5 linked regions of the Tribolium castaneum genome follow. The protein of the gene in region 2 purifies or fractionates together with the protein of the main gene of each other region. This does not show direct contact. Links are inferred from orthologs where the notes say so. Each region holds a gene or a part of one and is shown on either strand. Other genes may lie near its edges.

Region 1 (5,136 bases), about 5.1 Mb from region 2:
CCGAGCTTGTGCGTGAATCTAGCAACACAAACTCGCTGGAACTTTCCTTAGTAGGGACGGAGTCTTGGCTCAACCCATACACAATGAACCCATCATGGTACAGCTCAACTGATAAGTTGCCATAACCGAAATTTGAGTCGCGCGTTATTTTGAAAGGGAGGTCTTCCCGACTTGTGTATTTTCTAATAAAAATTATTTTTAAATTTGTTTGGTGAAATAAAAGGCAAGTACCCTGAAACCAGAGAATTGAAGCCAAAGCAAGGCCCGTGGTAAGTGTCAATGGGCAAGAATTCGTCACAGCAGGGAAATTCTTCGTTGTTGTAAAAGCACGAACTAATTGCTTCCGAACAAGTGCTGCGGAACTGCAATTAAACGAGTGCAGTTATGTTAACTGGGAAAATACCACAACCTTATGCATGTATTGCGAGTAATTTGTTAGCAAGCATTTGTCACGTAGAGCACCATTTGGTTGGCAAACTTGCGTGTGTCTTATGGAACCGTCGAAGAAAACGAAGGTTTCGAGTTTGGGGAACTGTTGAGATATGGAACCGAAAATTCTTCGAGCAGAGAGAGTTATAACAAAGAAAATCACAATTAACTTACTTCTTGTTAGCTTCGAGCATTTTTTTTGGATTTGATCGTTCGCAAATAACAATTGAAGGAAAGTTTGTTTGCCAATTTAAGTAAGATGTGTCCACTGAAAAGGATATTTTTTGGTTTTGATACTGGTCTAGTGCGTTAAACATTAGCATAATCGATGCGGCCTGTGAATCTATTTTATTGTGGTAAAAATTTGACGATTTGTGGGATTTACCCAAGAAGTTAGGACACATATTGTCCAAAAAAATCTTTCAGTCCAGTGGAATCTCTTATCAGCTATGAAATGCAAGCCATGTAGAGACGTGTTTAAGAAATATTTTGTAACAATACTCATTGTAGTGTAGTTGGGAATTTGTAATCAATACTATTTATGAGTTGGGTCATAATGCAGTAAAACTTTAATAAATTATTAATAGATGTGTTGAATTGTCGCTGTACAAAAACCTAATAAAAAGTTAACAGTTTTCAAACTATCAATTATATCATCGTAATATTTATTATGTATCTGTGGGAAACCAGAATGATACGTGAGCATTTAAGTAACCGCAAGCTACTTAAACATGAGAAGAATTAAAAAATAAGGAGTGCCAGTTGTAATAAAGAGCATGTGTGATTTCTATTAATTTAATAAAATACAGTCATTTCTTGATAATGTTTTTATTGAGTCCACGTTCTATTTTTATGGATAAAGTTTGTAATAGCAATATCAAATTCAATAATCATAAATCATAATAATTTCGCCATTTTTCGTCCATTTTTAATTTAATAATTAGGTAGGCAAAACCAAATGCTCAGTTGTTTTATTGGTCATCTACTCAATAAACTTATTACGTTTTTTAGTTTTATTTATTTCGACAAAAACATTCGTAAATTTACGTTCTTTTAAAACGAACATCATTTTATGTTTTTGACTTATTACCGATAAAATTTCACTGAAAAATCGGCTGTTTTTGAAAAATGTGTTTTTTTTATTTTGATATGCCTCTTTTTTGCAGTCATGTGTTGAATGTTGAATAAAAACCGAAAAATCAATAAACTTTATGCTATAATTTTATAATAAAAATAATGTTTAAATGTAAAATTTACAAAAAAGTGAAAAATCAAATCATAAAGTGACGCAGCCTTAGCCACTTCTACAATCAAACATATGCTTATCTCTCTTTAACTTAAAAGATTGCGATACGTGTCTCACTCCGATAAGATGGTAACCACAATGATAACACCGTGCCAACCAACGAAAAAAAGCTTAGGGATTAAATTAGACAATAAGGTTGTGCAATAATCTATTTCCTAAACCACTTTTTAATTTTGAGGCCATAAAAAAGATCAGTGCGCTAAAAACTGAAAAAGATAGCACGAGTGTTTAAGTTTCCCGCTCCGTCAATTATGCTTCGGAAAGAGAAATGACGATAAAAAAACAAATGATTAATCAGGAAAATATGGCGCTTGCCAGGAGAAAAATGTAGAAATTTTAAAGTAACCATAGTCGAGTTGTCATCAATTGAAGTGTTAAAAGTGTTTCATCAGTAAACGTGAATAAACCCGTGCTTCAATTCGTTCGCGACGAAATCTCCAAGATGAGTGTCGACGCATACGGCCCCAGTTCGCAAACTCTCACGTTTTTAGAGACCGAAGAAAACGACTTGATCGGGGCTGACACCCAAGGATCCGAATGCGAATTCACCGATTTCACAATTCCATCGCAAACGCAAGCCTCGCAGCACGACCACGCGGGCCCCAAAGTTTCCGGTGTACAGGTTAGTGCAAGGTCGCCCCCTGGTTCAGTGTCGTATGACGTTGTTGTTTTAGCTCAACAACAACATCAACAACAAAATCGCCAATGCGACGAGTGCTTTAGGGGAACTGCAATTCGAGGAAGAGGATGAGGAGTATTTCAACAGCAAGGAGCTCCCGAACTACGCGTGCAAGTACTGCGGCATTCATGAGCCGAATTGCGTTGTCATGTGCAACTGCTGCAAAAAGTGGTTTTGTAACGGGAGAGGAAACACCTCAGGAAGCCACATAATCAACCATTTGGTGAGGAATTTCAACTTGGAAACTGTTTTTTGATTGGGGTTTAGGTCCGAGCCAAACACAAGGAAGTGACCTTACACAAGGACGGCCCTTTGGGCGAGACAATCCTTGAATGTTACAGTTGTGGCGTCCGCAATGTTTTTGTTTTGGGGTTCATTCCTGCCAAAGCTGACTCTGTTGTGGTGCTACTTTGCCGCCAACCTTGTGCCGCCCAAAACTCACTTAAAGTAAGTCATTGCTTTTAAAATAGGACAGTTTTCAAGCTTTTAATAGGACATGAACTGGGATCAAGACCAATGGAAACCACTCATTACCGACCGGTGTTTTCTCACATGGCTTGTAAAAATACCATCAGAACAGGAACAACTGCGAGCGCGCCAAATCTCAGCCCAACAAATCAACAAACTTGAAGAACTTTGGAAAGATAATGTTGATGCCACGTTCCAGGATTTGGAACGGCCAGGAGTTGACGAAGAACCGCAACAAGTTAGTCTTGTTTGCACAGTTCTAACGTATTTATTATAATTTTTTTTGGTAGGTTTTATTGCGATATGAGGACGGTTATCAGTACCAAAACATTTTTGGTCCTCTTGTTAAGCTTGAAGCTGATTATGATAAAAGATTGAAGGAGTCTCAGACTCAGGAAAATATTGAAGTTAGGTGGGATGTGGGTTTGAATAAGAAAACAATTGCGTATTTTACTCTTGCTAAAACTGACGGGGATATGAAATTAATGCACGGAGATGAGTTGAGACTTAGATACGTGGGAGAAATGCATAAATCATGGGCGGGGGTGGGACACGTTATCAAAGTTCCTGATAATTACGGAGAGGATATTGGCATTGAGTTGAAGAACGGAAATGGGGCTCCCACCGATTGTAACAGCAACTTTGTGGTGGATTTCATTTGGAAAAGTACCAGTTTTGACAGGTAAATTTCGTTGTTGTGATAGAAACAGAAATAATCACGTTAATCTCTTTATGTATCACATTTTTTATTTATTTTTTTAATTAATGTTTTACTGTTAGTAGTCAAACGTTGAAAGTACCATTGTTATAAACTTTCACATTAAATATAAGTATAATATTACAATCAAACTTTATTTTAAAAATCACAGTAATTAAAAAAAAAGCATGAGAGAAGTGACGCATTTTCACTTCTTATTTCCGAATGTTAAAAAAATCTTTGTAAGATGTTAATTTTAAGCGTTGATATTTCAAGCTATATTAATGTGGTAATTTTTTTATAAGGTTTCTAAGAATATTTAATTAAAAAAATAATTATGTGAAAACAAGTTTTCACGTCGTTTTTTTCTGAGCTCGCCTTTATTGTTAATTGCAGGATGCAACTCGCCTTGCGAAAATTCGCCGTTGACGATACATCCGTTTCCGCCTACATCTACCACCGCCTCCTCGGCCACGAGGTCGAAGAGGTCCTTTTCCGTTGTCACCTCCCTAAACATTTTTCGGCACCTAATCTTCCCGACTTGAACCGTTCGCAAGTCTACGCCGTCAAACATGCCCTCCAGCGTCCACTCTCCCTCATCCAAGGTCCTCCCGGAACGGGAAAAACCGTAACTTCCGCCACCATCGTCTATCAATTGGTGAAACAAAACGGCGGTCCAGTCCTAGTCTGTGCTCCCAGTAATACGGCAGTTGACCAACTTACCGAAAAAATTCACAAAACTAATCTAAAAGTTGTAAGATTGTGTGCGAAATCACGCGAAGCGATTGATTCGCCTGTGAGTTTTCTTGCATTGCATAATCAGATACGTAAAATGGAAGCCAATACTGAACTCCAGAAGTTGCAACAGTTGAAAGATGAGACTGGAGAGTTGAGTTCAGTTGATGAGAAACGATACAGAATGTTGAAAAAATTGGCTGAGAAAGAATTACTCGAAGCTGCCGATGTTATTTGTTGTACTTGTGTGGGGGCAGGTGATCCACGATTGGTTCGTTTGAAATTTCATTCGATTCTGATTGATGAAAGTATGCAAGCGACTGAACCCGAATGTATGGTACCGGTGGTACTAGGAGTGAAACAATTGATTTTGGTTGGTGATCATTGTCAGTTGGGTCCAGTTGTTATGTGTAAGAAAGCAGCAAGGGCTGGATTGTCCCAAAGTTTGTTTGAGAGGTTGGTGGTATTGGGAATTCGACCGTTTCGCTTGGAAGTACAATACAGGATGCATCCAGAATTGTCGCGTTTTCCCTCCAATTTTTTCTATGAAGGGAGTTTGCAAAATGGAGTTTGTGCCGATGAAAGGAAGTTGAACAAGATTGATTTTCCATGGCCGGTTATTGACAGGCCCATGTTTTTCCACGTGACCCAAGGGCAGGAGGAAATTGCCGGGTCTGGGACTAGTTATCTGAACCGAACTGAGGCAGCTAATGTCGAAAAGATCGCCACTAGGTACGAAAATCATTTGGTTTTTTTTCTGTTTGCCTATTTTTTTTAATTTGCTTTTTTACAGATTTTTGCGGTCGGGAGTTAAACCGGAAC
Region 2 (5,206 bases):
AAGACTTTGGACACGGGGTCTAAAGCGGTGTGCGAAAGTGTGGTTAAGTTTGTTGTTACACACGCGTGAAAACTTCTTCGCGCGCGGAAATGTCCTAAAAAACGAGGCAAATCACGCGAGTGGAGGAAAACACGCGATAAATGCGACATTTTTTCATAAAATCACAAAAACATTTCAAATTTTAACACTGATGGAAAAGTCGAGATGTCAATACCAACAGCGCACGAGGACGAACGAAAATCACTAGAAACTTCTGGAATGGGGTTTTGGGAACTTCAAGAAAACTACTCTTATCGTATATTGATATACTTTTTATTTATGAATTGTAATTGAGACGATATAAACTACACTTTACAATGTAAATTAAATAAAAAATTAAGCTCTCAAAGAGACGAACTGTTGGAATACTTCGAGAATGTGTGGGTCCAAGTCTTGGGTAAACAGCAGCGTTTCCAACGTAGAACTGTATTTCTGAACTTGTTCATGATGCTGTAACAACACAAATTAATTATAAATAAAAGCATAATAAAATATTACCGCTAGAAACACTTGTTGGAGCCTCCCAATTGTCCACTTGTACCAATGGGTGTTATAGTCGCGCCCATCCGTGTCACACCTGACCAAATGTTCAGACAGTATCATTATAAACCTCTGGAAAATAATCAGGAACAAGTTTTTCTGATCGGCTTGTGCCGCTTCCAACTTCTCTTCCATCCTTTCAACATACTCTTCAGTTGGTTTCTCGTTATCAGATTGCTTCTTCTTCGAATCCTCATCTTCAGACTCACTTTCGCTGCTTTCAGCCCGTGCTAGTTTCTCTCTAGCTTCAGCTAGTTCACCCCCTAGCTTAATCACGTGTCTGTTCATTTTTTTAATAGTCAGATGTAAAATTTCCCACAAGTACATTTTGGTGAATTCGGCCGTCATCTCTTTGGAAAAAATCCAATTAGCGACCGCTGAACACTCGACAATTTGAATTTTCAACATTTTGTCAACTAAAACGACCATCATTTGTTGGTGGTGGTGCCACAATTCGAACATGTTTCGTAAAACGCAAATTTGAGCTTCCTCCGACTCTGCTAAAATCTATCAAAAAAAAAGTGATTTAAGACACAAATGTTCAAGCCTGAGTACCTTAAAAACGTAAAGAAACTTGGAAATCGCTGCAAAACTGTGCGAGAAGCTCTTCGACCCTAAGTTGAGTAGAGTTTGCACAAAAACGTCGATTTTGAGAGGATTAAATCTGCTATCAGTCTCTTCTTCTGAACGGGGGTTTGGGAGGTCCTTAAGCACCCCTAGGACCTCCTCGGGGGTGCACTTCTGACGTATTGACACCACCAATTGATGGGCAGCCGTAGTACCCGGAAGTGACGCTAAAACACGATTTGTTATGCATGACAAAAAATTTCATAATTTTGGTTTCGCCACGACGGAAGCTGGATTTTTTCACAACTCCTCATAATCCTCCGTTCCACTTTAAATAAATGAATTATTCAAAAAAACAATCCGTTTAATACAACAAAATTGTTTTCCGCAAACCGAAACGGAAAAGAAAAATTAATAATAGCGGAAGACCACCGACCAGAAAATCCAATATTGTTGCAAGTAATCATAACGGAAACGTTCGTTTTTTCTCGAACGCATATAATCGTATCCCTTTCTTACGCAAGCTGCAATGTATAGCTATTTTCTCGTGTTAATTGGTCAAATTCACGCACGTTTTACTTTCGGACTTTTTCCTTTAAATTACAAGAATCACTTCATACCGTGACCATTATGTCAAATTTGCTCATTGTGATGATTGTTTCAAACAATTGTAATCTTCATCGTGTAACATGCACTTTCGTTATTGTTTTTCGTTTCGAAATCTCCAAGCGTAAAGATGCGACTTTGCGATATCGCCGCTGACTTAAAATCGGTTCTTTTCAGAGCAATTAAGTTCAAGGTGAAACTGAAGATTCGTGAGCAAAATTACGAATTAAAAGAAAAAAATAAGAACGATCGTAAACATCTCTGGTTTCATAACGCGGAGATTAAATCAAAGGTAATGAATTTGTGCAATAAAAATGAAAATATTCTACCTCAAGTACTGAATTTTACGCAAATAGGGTCTTAGGTAACACCACAAGGTTTCAATTAGCCACGCTTTTCGGTGAAAATAAAATTTCTCTATTTTCCTTCGAGTAACATAAAGAAAAAAAATGTTTTTGCAGAAATTAAATCAACAAAAATCCACCATCAAAGAAGAAGGTAAAAAATAAATTAAATTAAAAGTGCGAGTCCATTATTTATCGTAATGAAAATGCAATTATCAAGATGTTGCGACAATACAAATTCATCATAGAATTGCCAATAAAACCTTGCTAATAAATTTTTAATTAAAAAATCTCACTTCGGACAATACTTTTTCCGAAGGTTTAATTTTAACAAACCCATCACTCTTAATAAAAATTTCAAAACTTCATTGTTAATGAGAGTCATTTTAGTTAATTACTGTCGTGCCAAATTAACTTGTCCGAAAATAATAATTCGGGTTTTTTCTTAAAACCCCGAGATAATTATCTTGGCATGTGTCTAAATTAAGTAATATAATATGCACATTGCACACACAAGAAAAAAATAATTAATATTCATCAGTGCGCAGAAAAGTAGACAATGTATTAGCAATTATGTCGAAAGCTTCTAGGATCATCGGTGGGGTACTCTTCAATCTCTCTAAGTAAAAAGATTTAGTTGTAAGAAACCGAGCGAACTAGTGACATGTGCAGCTTTCAAACATTTGCAAACACCCAGTGGGTCTAAAATGGGACACTTCGAAATAATCTTCATTTTACTCTTGGTAATTTTACCACGACTAACAATCCCATTCAAGTCCAAGGTTATTAAAAAATGAAAACTCTCATTTTCAGACTCTCCAACTATGGGAAACTGTATCAATCACTCGACCCGTGCGAAACTTTCATCCTCCCACCGACTGGGAATTGGGGCTGCGTGAGTCCGTGCATCAGGCCCTCCTCCGGGAACACTACACCGACCCGGGGCTCCGCGACCGCCTCCTGGCAGCCCCTTTTATCAACCGACAGGACGACGCAAGTCCTTTCGGAGACATCGCCGTTCTGGCACGAGGACAACTCTACATAACCCCTGAAGGTTTCAAATTTGTTCAAGACGTGGACTGTGATTGTCAAAGATGCCTCACGTCGCCCCAATGCCAGTGGAAAACCTTCGGTCACCATAAACTACTCGCACTGTGGACGGTGAAGCGGATAAGACATCGGGACCCCCATTATGGGCACGTGTACGAAATCGAGTACACGATTTCGCCCATCACGCACACCATCAGCGAGGATTTGGTCAAAAGACATGGGTTTTTTAACTATAACGTCCCGGGACACATTTTCGTGATTAAGAGCGATCCGGGTGTGAACACAGTTGGACAAAAAGAGTGGTTCAAGAAAGAGGAAGATCATGGACACTACAAACCCGGAATTTTAATACAAATGACCCCGGATGGGTACAAACACGTGTTGCACAGTTTTCCCGGATTTTTCACTTCATACCACGACCAAACAACAATCGATCCAAAAGAATACGAACTGTACAAAAAATTGATCGAGTCATTGGCGGCGAAAACATCAAGTGGGCCTCACCGATTCTCAGTTACGACTCCTACGACTACGACTTTTGTCGTAAGTGAAGGACAATTAATCCCGATTACGACTTTACCGACCCAAAGTTATACAAAGTCGCCGAAACCCATCACAACCATTCATTATTACACTCCGGTTGAGACAACAACGGAAAAACAAGACGAGAGTTTTGATATTTTTTCGGAGGCGTTACGCACAACTACTACGAAAAAAATTACGACAAGTGAAGAACGAGTTAATTTGTTCCCGGTTAGTCCAACCGAACCGATGAAACCGGTTACGGAAGTTCCGAAACACACACGACCGGATTCAATCAGTGAACAACTTCCAGCCCCTGATCGAAACGTTGAAACTACAATTCCGTACGTTACCACGACTCAACCTTCGGTTAGGAAAGAAGAAAGTACCACAATTGAAAAAGTACCGTATACAGAGCAGAAAACTACAATTATTGGGCCCTTTACGACCGAGAGGGTTAAAAGTACTACGTTTTATACCACTGTACCGAAAAGTAGTACGGTGATTGAGGCGGTACCCGTTAGGACTTTACACACTTCAACCAGTCCCAAAACCACTTCGACTAGCCCCAAAACAACTACTATAATAGAAGCAGTTCCCGTCAGAACTCTGCACACGTCAACCACTTTTCTACCATCGTCTAGCCCCAAGACTAGTAGTTATGAAACCACAGTAATAGAAGCAGTACCCGTTCGAACTTTACGACCTACAACTGGTCATGATACCACTTTTTCCACATCATCCAGCCCCAAAACCACCAGTTATGGAACCACTGTGATAGAAGCAGTGCCAGTCAGAACTTTGCACACTTCAACCAATCAAGGCACTACTTTTCTACCACCGTCTAGCCCCAAAACTAGTTACAGAACGACTCTAGTAGAAGAAGTACCAGTTAGAACGCTACACACTTCAAGTAGTCCTAAAACTACTACCACAATCCAAACAATACCCACTACAACTCCATATGGTTCAACTACTATAGTAGAAGCTGTACCAGTCACAACCCTGCAAGGTTCTACTATCATAGAGGCGGTACCTATCACAACTCCATACCTGTCAACTAGTTATGGTACGACTGTAGTAGAGGCGGTACCCACTACAACTCACCCGAAAAATACGTACGAGACAATAGCAAAAACACCCAGTTATGAAACCACTATACCAGAGATAGTACCTACGACCACTCGGAGTCGAACGAGTTATGGTACCACTTTAGGAGAACCCGAATCTGTGACAACCCACCCTAAACCCACCACAGTCACGGAATTTTATTTCGAATCAAAGCCAAAAACAACAGTAACGCAACAAAAATTCACAATCCCTACGACTACCACTTATTATACGCAAACCCCGACTCAATACTTAAAAGAAGCGACTTTCACGACAAAGAAAGTACCTCGAGTGACCATAACTACCCCAAGCGACGATTTCTTGCTCGATTCAGACATCGAGAAAAAACCGAAAATACCCGAGAAAAAAGATTTCGACGTCGATGATATTTTCGGAACAGTGTCGACAAAATCGAGTACCGAACCAAT
Region 3 (5,157 bases), on a different chromosome or scaffold from region 2:
TTTTAAATATCGGCGTCATTGGGTATTTTATTAATAAAGCCAAATTTAAACTTTTTAATTGTTTTGTGGAAGCCACAAGCCATGGCCGATTTTTTCCCGAGGCCACGATTAAAATGTTCGGTTTTTTTCCAGGTTGAGGATCTGCTCAAAATCAAATCAATCGACCGAATCCGTCTTGATAACATCAGTCGGTTTCTGACTGTTGAAAACTCCGACCTAGAAGACACCGACGTTGAGAACCCCCGTTCTAGCATTCTCACAAACGGCTTCCACCATTCCGTCAACGAGAAAAAAATTACAAATGGGGGGCCCTTAAAACTTCCCGTTTTGAACGGTTTATCGTCGTCTTCGCTTTTCGACATTTTCGAGCTCTTGTCGGCTTATTCTCCCCGACCGACTGGTCAGGAAATTTTCAATTTCACGCGGAAAGGAGAGCCAGCGATACGAATCGGAGTATGGAATTTGCACGAATTTACATTTGAGAAAGCTAACAATCCCGGAGTTAGGGAAGTCGTGTGTCGGACGATTTTGGAGAACGGGTTTGTAGAAAAAACATCGTGTGAAGCACAGGTTTTGAGGAAATTGTTCCAGACTATCGATATTAGCCGTCCAAGAGGTAGTTAATGTCACAGCAATGAAATTAATTTGTGATGAGCTCAACAAGCCAAGGTTGAGACGAGTCAACGAGTGGAAAGATAAAAACCATAACTGGAATTTTTGTATGCTGGATGTAGATGGGTCCCAGTTAGGTTTTATCTATGACTCAGATGGAGGTGCAACACTACCTATTTCTAATTTTATTTTTATGACTAATTTGTTTCCAGTGATTGATATTGAACTGATATCACTGAACCAAGGTCCACAAGAAACAAGCGATGACTGCGAAGTTCTCATAGCAAGTTTCAAAGTCGGCGATTTAGACTTACAACTAGTTAACATGAAACTAAACAAAAAGGCGAAACTGGACGTGTTGCAGGAAAAAATAAAAGATCTAATTTCCGAAGAAGACATGCTTTTATTGTTTGTAGACTTTTCAGCTATTCCTAACATAACAGGTAAACTGCTGATAACATAACTAAACATGCAAATATTTTTTAACGAAATTGCCAATTAAGTTGCATAATTACTTACATCACAGCCTTGATGGATGGGAACTTCGTTCTTAGACGGCTGGTCGGGTCAAGCAGGCTGTGCCACCTAAGAGGGCGACATCTTACGTCAAATATAATTGTCAATTCTGATAGTAGTGAAATTAGGCATGCAATGCGAAGTTAGCGACAAGCCGTAAAAAACGAAGTTCTCTATCTATCAAGGAGGCTGTGAATGACAGTGGGCGTGTTTGCAGACGACTGGTTGACAATCGGGGGTCTCCAAGCAGCCTTTCCGAGTTCGATGAACACGAGTTATTTGCGATCGAAGTTGGGTTTAAAACCACAACACATATCAAATATTTTATGTAACAACAAAATCCAAGGGCAAGTTACGGGTATTAATGGGGTGGTACAGCAAGGTTTGACCCATTTGGCCATTCCCAATGGGTGGAATTGGGGCGGACCGGCGTCTCCTTTTTGCCCCGTCTGGATGGAATTGTTTCTAAACCCCAATTCTGGGACGGCGTTGTGATATTATCTTATTTTGTATTTAATTTTATTTATTTTTGACTGGGTATACTTCACGTAAATTTTACAAATTTATGGCTGTGTGTCGGACGGTTTTATTTCTAAGCTTTAAAGACAAATATGTGGGGGCACAGATGATTTTATTTTGAAATTGTGTTTTTGTTCAGAAATTTTCAAAAAAATTAGCGGGCGAATTTTGCAATAAAGGGCCCCGATTTCGTACTCCCTGTACTGTAACAACTTAGTCTTGTATTTGTAATTATTTAATAAATATTATTTTATTAACAGTGAGTTTTATTTATCACAAGTTCGGTCCAACAAACAATCGAGTGCGTAAGCACCGCACGTGAAAAGTGTGACCTTGACATCAGCGTGCCAACTTTAAAAACTGAAAGTTTTGCCGAAATTATTGCAAATAAAGGTGTAGTGTCCATTGAAACAATAAATTTGGCTTGATTTTGAGCCTACAGTGAAAAGTTGTGGTTTTAATGTTAATAAGGTTTAGATTGTGTTAATTTTCCCGATCAGCTGTCCTTCCGTTGTGTTTGCCACCGTGCGCGCAACCTGTGCAACCGATCTTTGTAGCAAATGGGTATGAAAAAAATACCCAAATTACGTTAAATCAGTCGGTAATTTTGTGATAATCGCGTCCGAACGTTTCCCCCTTCATTTTTCATGTTATCATAACGCCAAATCGAGTCTTTTACGTTTTAAGAGCGCCACCCGGCTTTTCCTCGTGTTTTCATCAGCCCTCCATTGTCAAATCTATCAAAATGGCGGATACAGGTTACAAGAATCGCATCCAGAATTTCAAGAACAAGGGAAAAGACCAAGATGTAAGTACCCCGCCCTTCCTTGCGCCCCACCGGCTCCCTTACTCCCGAAACACCCGTCCGGTGCGCCCCTTCTGACCGCCCCGTGTGCCCCCAGGAAATGCGAAGACGGCGCAACGAGGTCACCGTGGAATTGCGCAAGAACAAGCGCGAGGAGACCCTCCAGAAGCGCCGCAATGTCCCCGTGGTGGACTCCACCGACGAGGACGACATCGAGAAGTCGCTCTCCACCACGAACTTGGAAGAACTGGTGGCGCAAGCGGCCGCTATCGACAACCCCCCGCTGCAGCTGATGGCGATCCAAACCGCGCGGAAGTTGCTGTCTTCAGACAGGAACCCCCCGATCGACGCCCTCATCTCCAGCGGGATCCTGCCGGTCCTGGTGATGTGTCTCGAACGGTATGACGAGCCCTCGTTGCAGTTTGAGGCCGCCTGGGCGCTCACGAACATCGCCTCGGGCACGTCCGCGCAGACCAACAGGGTGGTGCAAGCGGGGGCCGTGCCCCTCTTCCTGAAGCTGCTGCACTCGCCCCAGCAGAACGTCTGTGAACAGGCCGTTTGGGCCCTGGGGAATATCATCGGCGATGGGCCGCAGTTAAGAGACTATGTTATCGAGCTCGGTGTTGTTAATCCACTTCTCTCGTTCATTAAACCCGACGTTCCGATTTCGTTCTTGAGGAACGTCACCTGGGTTATTGTTAATTTGTGTAGGAACAAGGATCCCCCGCCGCCTATACAGACTATTAGGGAGTTGTTACCCGCCTTGAATGCGCTTATTCACCACACAGATACCAATGTGAGTATGTACCAGAAAAGAGTCACAAAGGTGAGCAGTCTCATACTTTGCGTTACGTGTGAAAAAAATATAAAAAAGGGAAGAAAAAAAAAAGTTCACCTTTAATGACGTCTGAGTTTTAAAAATGTTGGATTCAACGGTGCGAGATTGGTGTCAAGGTCGCAATTTATTCTTTGTCCATTTTAATGATTTGCAAAAATACGTCTTCATCATTATTTTCGGTTGTTTTGTTAGTATTGATTACGACGTAATAAACAAAACAGTACTTTGGCTCTATAAACAAATTTTACGTTGGCAGAATCATTCATAAAATTTTCATTAATTAAAAGTTCAGAAGTAGGTCAGCTATAATTGTTTTCACTTATTAGGAGGTGTGACTCAGGTTTTTGTGACTCAAACCGGGGTTGTTTATAGAATATGAAGTTAAATTAAACAAGAAATATTTTCTTTACATTTAAATTATTCTTACCGATGGTCACATAGTCACAAAAACGTTATCAAGAATCAAGAATTACGAGATATCAAGAAAGACAATTTTACAAATAAAATATTTGTTTGAGATGCTGTCAAAACATTCTGGGATAATTAACATTTATTCTCACTTGTATAGAAGGGTTCTATAAATAATTGAAAGAAAAACCCTGGTTTCAGTGTCAGTAACAGAAACTGAAAGTTTGAAATTTTTTAGACGTTGGAATTTTATTTTAAAACTTTTCCATGTCCTTCTCGTCTGAAAGTAGATTTTTAGTCTCTTTGGCGACAAATTTCAAAGGCAAAATAAGCCTTGATAATTTTCGTAGGCTTGATTCGTCAGTCCTTAGATAACATTGTCAGGAATGTTGCATAAATAATAAATAAAAAAATATGAAGACATTGGAAGCTACTTAACATAAACAATTAAAAATGGATTTTTGTTATGTGGTGTAGTGGCAGCAATAACAAACAGTGTGGTTAATTTATTTGCGGTTTGTTTTTTGTACTTTTTAATGAAACGTGAAAATATTTATGTACATAATACTATTAAGATTTTTTATTAATTATAACAGATTCCTTACCTTTGTTGTTTTATGTAATTGTGGCATGTTGGCTTTTATTTAAAAAATCATAGAATTCACGTTGTGGAAAATAAATGTGTAATCGTAAATTTTGGTAAAATACTATAAAAAATTTCAAGTTGACTTCATTTTGTGAGGCACTCTCATTTATTTTATTTTTTTGTGCAATATTATGGAGGTGATTTTTTTATTTGATTCTGAATCATTCTTTTATTTGTTTATTCTTTTGTATTTTAAAAAATACAATGCATATAAATACAAGCCGAAAAAGGAATTTTAATGACCTCACAAAAGTGCATCTTTACCGAAAAATTCTATTTGACAAATTCGCATTTTATTTAGGATAAAACATCACTGGGGAATAATATAAATGACATTAGAAACCTTGCAAAGTTCTCGTTATTTTTTTTATTTATCGATATTAAATTTTTCTGGGACACATACAAAACGATATTTGGATTTTCGGCTGTAGCATTTAAAAAAAAATTGCTCTTCCAGATTTTAGTCGACACGGTCTGGGCATTAAGTTACCTCACCGACGGCGGCAACGAACAAATTCAAATGGTGATCGACAGCGGCGTCGTGCCCAAACTCATCCCTCTCCTCAGCCACAAGGAGGTGAAAGTGCAGACGGCGGCCCTCCGTGCCGTCGGAAACATCGTCACCGGAACGGACGAGCAAACCCAGGTGGTCCTCAACTGCGACGCCTTGTCCCACTTCCCTGCCCTCCTCTCCCACTCCAAAGAGAAGATCTGTAAAGAGGCCGTCTGGTTCCTGTCTAACATCACCGCCGGTAACCAGATGCAAGTCCAGGCCGTGATTGACGCCGGCCTCCTGCCCAACATCATCAACAA
Region 4 (3,990 bases), on a different chromosome or scaffold from region 2:
TTATTCTATTGTACTAAGTGCCAAATATTATTTTTATCGTTGGAGAAATGGTCACGAAGAGATTTTGATTCGTCGGCTGGATAAAACGGCAGTCGACTGCTATTGATTGCCGACACAACTTGCGTCATTTTCGGCGTGACCCTGTTCACGTACGAAATAGAACCACACTCAGTCATAATGTGGTCATAATAAAGTAACATTAACTTAAGTACACTAATTGATACGAGACATCTATTGTTCCTCAAACGAACTAATCCTGAAACGACTTTTCAATAAATTTCTGCCATGTAAACGTGCAGATGATAAATGAGCATAAACAAACCCACGCTCACTTGATCCGATTAATTTTCGAATTTTATGAGTGGACATTGTTTTTGACCTGTACTCTACTCGATATTTTTAGGAGCGGCGTAAAATAATATTTGTTATTAGAAAAAATTCCAAACTGCAAGATTAAACAGTTTCCAATTTTTTTTTATCTAGATTCATCTATCAGAGCGTAAATATAACAATTTTTATTAACTGGTGCATTGTGATAAACTCACCCAGTCATGACATTGACACGTATCAGTGGCCCTCGAGTATACCTACTTACAATAACGGCGATAACAGACTTCCAATTTGATAATGATGATAAATGAAGAAGACAGTTTGTGCACCTGTTTAAAATTAACACGAGTAAAATTAAAAAAACCTCTCAGGATTCAACCGATCCTTTAAATTATTATGCTGAGATCTTTAATCTCAGTGAATGTATTTTTGTATATAACCCAATAAAACTATAAAATCAAAAATATGTTAGGATCATCTGGTGCTTTACAGTTTTCTCTGTGCATGTGATTTTTTTCAGGATTATTCTACAATTCCTTACAATAAATATTAATTAATTAAAAAAATCAATATAATAATTAATTAACTAAATTTATAGTCTTAGGGACTAGTTACTGTACAAAGCCAAATAAAATTTAATTCAGGATTAAACTTCAGTGGTGGAGAACTTACGGATAAAACGAACTAGTTTTCCGTTCATAACGAACTTTTCACAGAATTTTGAGAAATATGTCGGGGTTGATAGTAAGTATTTAATATAATAGAGAAGTGTTAACTGATGAACAAATTATTAACTAACTAAAAATAAATATTTTTTGTGTTTTGACATCTAATTACTGTGTAATTAACTACTTAATCCAAACTTTTATTATTTTTTGGGATATTAGAGGTTGAAACTTTCACTTCAGCGTCTAAAAATTAATCAGAAACGCAATATCAACTAGGAAATTGGGATTGCGTCTTTTGAGTACTTTTCCCAAAGTTTATATGACTAACAGACGGTGATTTGAGCAAACGAGCGTATGCGAGTTACATAATATACACCCGAGAACTTTAAACGTTTTCGCGTGAGTGTTTGTTTTGTTGGAATTTTTAAATTAAATTAATATTTTTTTATTACATTTTTTAAATTTCTTTTAAATTTAAACGTGTTCACATTTGATTTTTTTTACTTTTAATGGATCAAATAAAGAAAGTCTAACATTACACAATATTTCAATTCTGCCAAAGATTCTTCAAACACTAAAATGTGTTAATGAGTCAATATAAATAAACATCTGTTTTGTATTGACAATATTTTAACATACATTAGGTAGAAGAACAAAATTTCATTTACAAATACCTACCTACATAAACTGGTAGAACAAAGTTTGAAAAAAATTGAATGTATAGGGAACCAATAATACAGCGGTGTTTTTACATTGGTGTAAATAGGTTACCTATTTCATAAACATAAAAATAAGTTTTTATTCTTTGTTTCTGTATTATGCTGAAAATGCAAAAAATTGCCTAATACATGCGGTCGTATTTTTTTTTGGTAAAATCCGGGCAGGTTCCTGTGTTGCCGACAGCGCAGTGACGTGGCGCATGCGCACAGCGTCTGTCGTTCATTTTGTACGCCATTTTGTCGTTGGTTGTGTGCGTTGCCGCCGGGTGTAGAAAAAGTGAATTTCTCAGTCAAATCAGCGTACAAAATCAGTAAAAATGGTCGACACAATTGAAATGAGTTTAGATGAGATAATAAAATCCAAGCCCCGGCGCGGCGGCCGTCGCGGAGGTCGCGGCGGAACCCGCGGGGGTGGCGCGCCAAGACGCGGCACGTTCCGAAGAGCCGGCGGCGTCCAAAGGGGCCGAGGACGCGGAGGAATAACGCGCCAGTACACCCGGGTAATTGTTTCTAACTATGTTTATACTTAAGCTGCCCCGCGATGGAAGCGGCTAGCGTGCATCCAGCCGGAGAGCCGGAATTTACCCCCATCCATGTTTGTTTAGGGAGATGTGAACAGTGCTTGGAAGCACGATCTGTTCGAGGGCTACGGCCCGCGTAAAGTGGCCGCGGCTCGGGCCGTTGTGCAGTCCAATGTGGGCCCCACTAAGCTCATGGTGGGCAATTTAGACTTTGCGGTCTCCGACTCGGATATTCAGGAATTGTTCGCCGAGTTTGGGCCGCTAAAGAGCGCCTCGGTGCACTATGACCGCTCGGGGCGGTCGCTCGGCACCGCTGATGTGATTTTCGAAAGGCGCACCGACGCTATTAAGGCCATGAAGCAGTACAACGGAGTGCCTCTCGACGGACGCGCCATGAACATTCAAATCATCACGTCGGAGATTCCGTCGCCGGTCAGGAGGCCCACGGGAGAGAGGAAGTTCCAAAGCAGAAGAGGGGCTGCACCTGCCAAGGGACGACCTAACAGAGGTACAATTACTTGACCAGCGGCGGCGACGCCTCCAACAGCCGGATTTTTCAACTAAACAAATGTTTGTTTGCCAGGTCGTGGAGGAGGACGAAGTTTCAGAAATCAAAAGAAACAACCGACAGCTGAAGAACTCGACGCTGAATTAGACGCCTACACCAAGGAGATGAAATAAAATAAGTGCTATTAATATCAGAGACGCTCAACGCGCCACTTTTTGTGACTTGTGTTTAGTTCTTTCGTATTTTTATTTTGTATTTTGATTGTAACATCGAGCCTTACATTTTATAAAAAATAACCACTAAAGTACGAGGATTACGTATGCGGTTCGTTTTTTCCACAACTAAATCTAGTGTTAGGCTGTTTTCTCTTGTTAATGTAAATTGTATTGATAGGAATAAATAAGAATTAAGTGTGACTTGTCGTTTCATTAGAAATTTTTTTTATTTATACATAAAACTGCATCAGCCAAATGTATCACATGACGTTAAGACCGAGTTGTATAAAAAATTAATCGCCTTCAATCTTGATTTAAAACCATAATAAATCTTGTAACAGTTGTCGCTAAAGGCACGTTGACACGGATCGATTTTAGTCGTTTATTTCAAGTTGAACAATAAAACTTCAACAAAAATCATCGTCAGAATCTTTGTTGTGTCTTAAGTGGATCAAGTTTTTTACGATGATTTCCATTAAAAATTTTCATCTTTAATTGAACAACTAAAGTGGGTCCGTGAGAACTTGCGTTTAGGGTTTATATTACTAAATATACGACAAAACAAATTACAAAAAGTACATCCAATCGAAGCGAGTGCACTCAACGTAATTTTCATCAATAAAGAATACTAAAAGAAAATAATAATTTATTAAGCAACAGTGTAAGATTAATAATTATAGTAACTGAGCTGTCTTGTGGCTGCTTGTAATGTTCACAATTTTGTATCAAAATTAAATTACATTAAGTTTTCTTAGTTCCTATAATTCAACTTTTTTAAATTCGCCTAGTATTTTGTGTGAATATCCTTGTTCCGCATAGTTACCGAATTTAATCTAGTGTAGATATTTATAAACAAAATCTACATGTTCTTAGGGCATTAATCTGATTATAATAAAATGGAAACCACGACACCACTATATATTCCAAACGTGGCCTACAATATGTCCAAAGACTTAATATTTTTGAAACCTTTATTGTTTATTCGTGTAAAATAAATGAGTTCTAACATCTTACGTGCTTGAGCACAAA
Region 5 (3,920 bases), on a different chromosome or scaffold from region 2:
TTATACCCCGACTTGTTACGAAAGCGCGGAGATTCCGAAAAACAAATCAAAAATATCATGAAACGAGTCAGTAAGGAAAACATCAAACCTGTAGGCCGCCTCATTGGCAAACTCACCCACTGTTCACCGGGATTTCTGTTCGATTACATTTTACTCCAAATTCAAGTTTATAGCAATTTGATTCACCCAGTGGTCGACTCTTTGAAATATCTGACGAGTTTATCGTACGATGTTTTGGGCTTTTGCCTCGTTGAATGTCTAGCGAACGCCGACAAGAAACGGGTAAAACATGATAGCACTTCGATCTCTTCGTGGCTACAAAGTCTCTCGAGTTTTTGTGGCGCTGTTTACAAAAAATACATCATAGAATTGACCGGGCTTTTGCAGTATGTGGCCAACCAACTTAAAGCGCAAAAAAGGTACTTTTCATTTGTGACGTTCGCTGGGTTAATAACTAGTTTCAGTTTGGATTTGCTGATTTTGAAAGAAATCGTCCAGAAAATGGCAGGTGTTGAAGCCGCCGAAGACTTGACCATGGAGCAAGTGAACGCAATGGCAGGGGGCGAACTTCTGAAAGCCGAGGCCGGTTATTTGAGTCAAGTTCGCAACACTAAAAAATCATCACTGCGGCTTAAGGAAGCAATGTCTGAGCATAATCTAGCTGTGGCTTTGTGTTTACTGATGGCCCAGCAAAATTATTGTGTTGTCTATCGGGAAACGCAGAAGAATCATTTGAAATTGGTCGGGAAATTGGCCGATCAATGTCAGGACACTTTGGTCCAGTTTGGGACGTTTCTCGGCTCTTCTCTTTCAGTTGATGAGTATGTGAATAAATTGCCAAGTATCCAGAGTATGCTCCTCGATTATCATATTCCAAACGAAGTTGCCTTCTTCCTGGCCAGGCCCATGTTCAACCATGCCATAAATGTTAGTATTTCCCCCCTTTTTTGGCTTTTATTTAGTTAATTGTCTTAGATAAAGTACGATCAGTTGCGTAAATCTGACCCTAACTACAAGAAACTCTCAACGAACGTAAAAAACCAGAAATATTTCGAAGCGGTGAACGAAGTGATGGAACCGGTCCACAAATCTATAATTCCGCTCCACCCCCCGAAAATCTGGGAGGACATTTCGCCCCAATTTTTATCAACCTTTTGGTCTTTAACAATGTATGATCTTTACGTACCTGACGAAACGTACCAACAAGTCGTGAATAAAACGCGCCAACAATCGTTGGCAACGATAGAATCGAGTAACAACAAAGGTAAAAAAGAGCAAGAACGTTACTTGACCCTAGTCGAGAAACTGCAAGACGAGAAGAAGAAACAACACGAACACGTGGAGAAAGTAATGTATAGGTTGAAGCAAGAGAAGGACAGTTGGTTCCTGTCAAGATCGGCAAAATCGGCCAAAAACGAAACAATAACCCGGTTTTTGCAGTTGTGTTTGTTCCCTAGATGCACTTTCACGTCGATCGATGCCGTGTATTGCGCTAAGTTCGTCCACGTGATTCACATGCTGAAAACGCCGAATTTTTCGACGCTTTTGTGCTACGACAGGGTAAGTTGTGTGATCTGTTTGGAATTTTGCGTGATTTCGGTTGATTTAGCTCTTTTGCGACGTCACATATTCCATTACTTCGTGTACCGAAAATGAGGCGATGCGTTATGGGCGATTTCTGTACGCAATGCTCGAGACTGTAATGCGGTGGCACAAGTCGAAAGAGTTGTTTGAGAAAGAATGTGCCAATTATCCAGGTTTTGTTACTAAATATCGTCTAAATAACCAACATGCCGACAATTTGGATAATGTCGGTTATGAGAATTACAGGCATGTTTGTCATAAATGGCACTATAAACTAGCAAAGGCTATGGTCACGTGCTTGGACTCGAAAGATTACGTACAAATCAGGAACTCGTTAATTATCCTAATTAAGATCATTCCATTTTTCCCCGTGTTGCAAAAGGTGGGGCAATTTATTGAAAAACGGATCGAAAAAGTGCGAGATGAGGAGAAGAACAATCGACAGGATTTGTTCACGTTGTCTAGTAGTTACTTGGGGTTGTTGAAACAGAGGATTATGAGCGGGCATATGGTGAAAGAGAGCGATTTCCATATTTTGGTGGAGAAAGAGAAGGTAATTAACCATTCAAACAAAATTGCCAATCGTACAATATAATTCTGTTAGGTTGTGAGAAGTCATGAAGCTAAAAGTGAGGCAGGTTCTAGCAAACATAACGGCGAAGTTAAAGGTATTATGTGTGTGTCAATTTATTTGTTACTCATTGAGCTGATTTTAGAAGAGATGAAGGACAAAAGCGAGAAAAAAATCAAAGCGGAGGACCTTAAAGTCGTTTCACGAACGTCGCAAGGTTCCCAAAGCTCTGGCGATTATAACGCGTTAGTATTTCGATTTTGGTGCAAATTTCCCTTTTGAGTGTGTTTTTATTTAGGTGGGAACGCCCCGAACCGAGGGAAAAACACAGAAGGGAGGAGAAACGTGACGATTTTGAGAAAGAACGCGAAAGAGAGAAACGTAGAGAGCGTAAAGAGGAGAAATTGGCGAAACAGGAAGAACGACAGTATCGAGTAATTCATTGCGAGTTTTGTTGTTTTGGTGTTATTTCATTGGATTTTGTTTAGGAGGAGCGCTATTCTGAAATCAGTCCGAAAGATGAAATGCGGTATTCAAGCGACAGACAAGTGGAACGATACTATGACGAAAGAGGCAGTCACTACTATCGAGAAGTGCGAGATGAACGCGAAATCGGGTTAAGTGGTAGCAATAATGGGTCAAGTAGTATGGGAAGGCATAGTCAAGAGCCCGAGACCGATAGAGGTAAAATAATTGGGTCAGTTTGGTGGTATTGATTAATTTTTTTTGTGTAGAAGTTAAAAGAAGAAAAATGGATGGTTCTTCTTTGAAGGTTAGTATCGGAGTGACGTAACAACGATGCAGATTTCAGGGTTCGAAACCCTCTCTGGTATTTTCTTTGTCCGACACTGGGAGATTGGGCTGAGTCGTGCCGTTAAAGTGTTTTAAATCTGTCGCAAAAAGTGTTGTAGACTCGAGTGCTTTGTGTGTTTGATAAACTTTTTGCTCTAATTTCGCCACCAAGTCCTGCACGAGTTTTTGTTTTTCATCACCGGGTTCTCCTCACATTTAAACCAAATCAAATCACAAATTCTGATTGTCGTAAATATTTCCGAAGAAGTTTGTCGTTTAAAAAAATCGATCGATTCTTATAATCGCCGGAGTAATGTTGGAGTGAATTCGTCCGTTGATGAAGATCGGGAATGGAATCGGCTGTGAAGAAGACGCAAGCGAAGGTGCATGAAGATTCACTTATGTAAAAGTGGCAAAAAGTGACACTTGTGTAAGGGACAGTCTGCAATCAGCCCAATCTTCCATTTTGTTAATAATTTTGGGATGGGAGCCAGTTACAGGTAGGTTCCGGATTAAGTACGGAGTTTCTCCGGTGACGTGCAGCTCTTTTTATTGAATTACATTCCTTAAATAATTTTATTTGTACTGAAATTGCTTCCGTTTTGGTTTTGTCATGCCGAATTATTTTAGATGTTATGGATTATTTTTTCTGTTTCATAAGATATAAATGCATGTCTTTATTGTTGTTGTTAGACGAAACTTTTTGTTAAAATATTAAAGAACTTGGTTGCGTTTGTAAGGAACTTTTTTTTGCATTCCTTAATGAGTATTCAATAACACGGTCCAATAAATCCGACTTCATGTTTTTTTGAAGTGTCGAATGCATAAAATGATATTCTATTATGTATAGAGGAGTGTAACTTACAGTGTAGAAATATCCATTTGCTTATTACGAGTATGTATAGAATGTGTTTCTCCACCCTTGTGAAACTACATAATTTGAAAAAAACAATTGCAAATGTTACTTCCCGGC

The links.
Region 1: the proteins of Cbp80 (region 2) and regulator of nonsense transcripts 1 purify together in Homo sapiens (co-immunoprecipitation; 3 studies listed by BioGRID and IntAct, with this or other methods). This does not show direct contact. The link is inferred for Tribolium castaneum from reciprocal best matches to the Homo sapiens genes NCBP1 and UPF1.
Region 3: the proteins of Cbp80 (region 2) and Kap-alpha3 purify together in Homo sapiens (co-immunoprecipitation; 3 studies listed by BioGRID and IntAct, with this or other methods). This does not show direct contact. The link is inferred for Tribolium castaneum from reciprocal best matches to the Homo sapiens genes NCBP1 and KPNA4.
Region 4: the proteins of Cbp80 (region 2) and Ref1 purify together in Homo sapiens (affinity purification with western blotting; 6 studies listed by BioGRID and IntAct, with this or other methods). This does not show direct contact. The link is inferred for Tribolium castaneum from reciprocal best matches to the Homo sapiens genes NCBP1 and ALYREF.
Region 5: the proteins of Cbp80 (region 2) and tho2 purify together in Homo sapiens (affinity purification with western blotting; 3 studies listed by BioGRID and IntAct, with this or other methods). This does not show direct contact. The link is inferred for Tribolium castaneum from reciprocal best matches to the Homo sapiens genes NCBP1 and THOC2.

Annotation. Positions count from the first base shown.
Region 1 is NC_087397.1:527,232-532,367, forward strand, and holds the start of regulator of nonsense transcripts 1, read left to right. Parts: upstream 1-1,844; 5' UTR 1,845-2,177; coding exon 2,178-2,357; intron 2,358-2,409; coding exon 2,410-2,637; intron 2,638-2,681; coding exon 2,682-2,861; intron 2,862-2,907; coding exon 2,908-3,120; intron 3,121-3,172; coding exon 3,173-3,564; intron 3,565-3,975; coding exon 3,976-5,046; intron 5,047-5,107; coding exon 5,108-5,136. Other genes in the region: sodium channel protein Nach, read right to left, coding at 1-182, 232-362, 410-557, 604-764, 815-934. UniProt on the Homo sapiens protein: RNA-dependent helicase required for nonsense-mediated decay (NMD) of aberrant mRNAs containing premature stop codons and modulates the expression level of normal mRNAs.
Region 2 is NC_087397.1:5,579,860-5,585,065, reverse strand, and holds the end of Cbp80 (nuclear cap-binding protein subunit 1), read right to left. Parts: coding exon of another isoform or gene 2,910-5,206; intron 2,840-2,909; coding exon of another isoform or gene 2,804-2,839; exon of another isoform or gene 2,690-2,803; intron 1,374-2,689; coding exon 1,135-1,373; intron 1,087-1,134; coding exon 538-1,086; intron 490-537; coding exon 376-489; 3' UTR 291-375; downstream 1-290. Other genes in the region: lon protease homolog, mitochondrial, read right to left, coding at 1-149; mucin-2-like, read left to right, coding at 2,804-2,839, 2,910-5,206. UniProt on the Homo sapiens protein: Component of the cap-binding complex (CBC), which binds cotranscriptionally to the 5'-cap of pre-mRNAs and is involved in various processes such as pre-mRNA splicing, translation regulation, nonsense-mediated mRNA decay, RNA-mediated gene silencing (RNAi) by microRNAs (miRNAs) and mRNA export.
Region 3 is NC_087398.1:4,899,345-4,904,501, reverse strand, and holds the start of Kap-alpha3 (importin subunit alpha-4), read left to right. Parts: upstream 1-2,013; 5' UTR 2,014-2,392; coding exon 2,393-2,455; intron 2,456-2,549; coding exon 2,550-3,248; intron 3,249-4,801; coding exon 4,802-5,157. Other genes in the region: endonuclease/exonuclease/phosphatase family domain-containing protein 1, read left to right, coding at 133-539, 592-773, 825-1,055, 1,346-1,623. UniProt on the Homo sapiens protein: Functions in nuclear protein import as an adapter protein for nuclear receptor KPNB1. Binds specifically and directly to substrates containing either a simple or bipartite NLS motif.
Region 4 is NC_087395.1:19,979,512-19,983,501, reverse strand, and holds Ref1 (THO complex subunit 4), read left to right. Parts: upstream 1-1,922; 5' UTR 1,923-2,034; coding exon 2,035-2,217; intron 2,218-2,322; coding exon 2,323-2,746; intron 2,747-2,821; coding exon 2,822-2,919; 3' UTR 2,920-3,162; downstream 3,163-3,990. UniProt on the Homo sapiens protein: Functions as an mRNA export adapter; component of the transcription/export (TREX) complex which is thought to couple mRNA transcription, processing and nuclear export, and specifically associates with spliced mRNA and not with unspliced pre-mRNA.
Region 5 is NC_087402.1:8,541,154-8,545,073, reverse strand, and holds part of tho2 (THO complex subunit 2), read left to right. Parts: coding exon 1-419; intron 420-464; coding exon 465-927; intron 928-975; coding exon 976-1,560; intron 1,561-1,609; coding exon 1,610-2,137; intron 2,138-2,188; coding exon 2,189-2,252; intron 2,253-2,300; coding exon 2,301-2,400; intron 2,401-2,453; coding exon 2,454-2,589; intron 2,590-2,643; coding exon 2,644-2,839; intron 2,840-2,889; coding exon 2,890-2,927; exon of another isoform or gene 2,928-3,447; intron 3,448-3,920. UniProt on the Homo sapiens protein: Component of the THO subcomplex of the TREX complex which is thought to couple mRNA transcription, processing and nuclear export, and which specifically associates with spliced mRNA and not with unspliced pre-mRNA.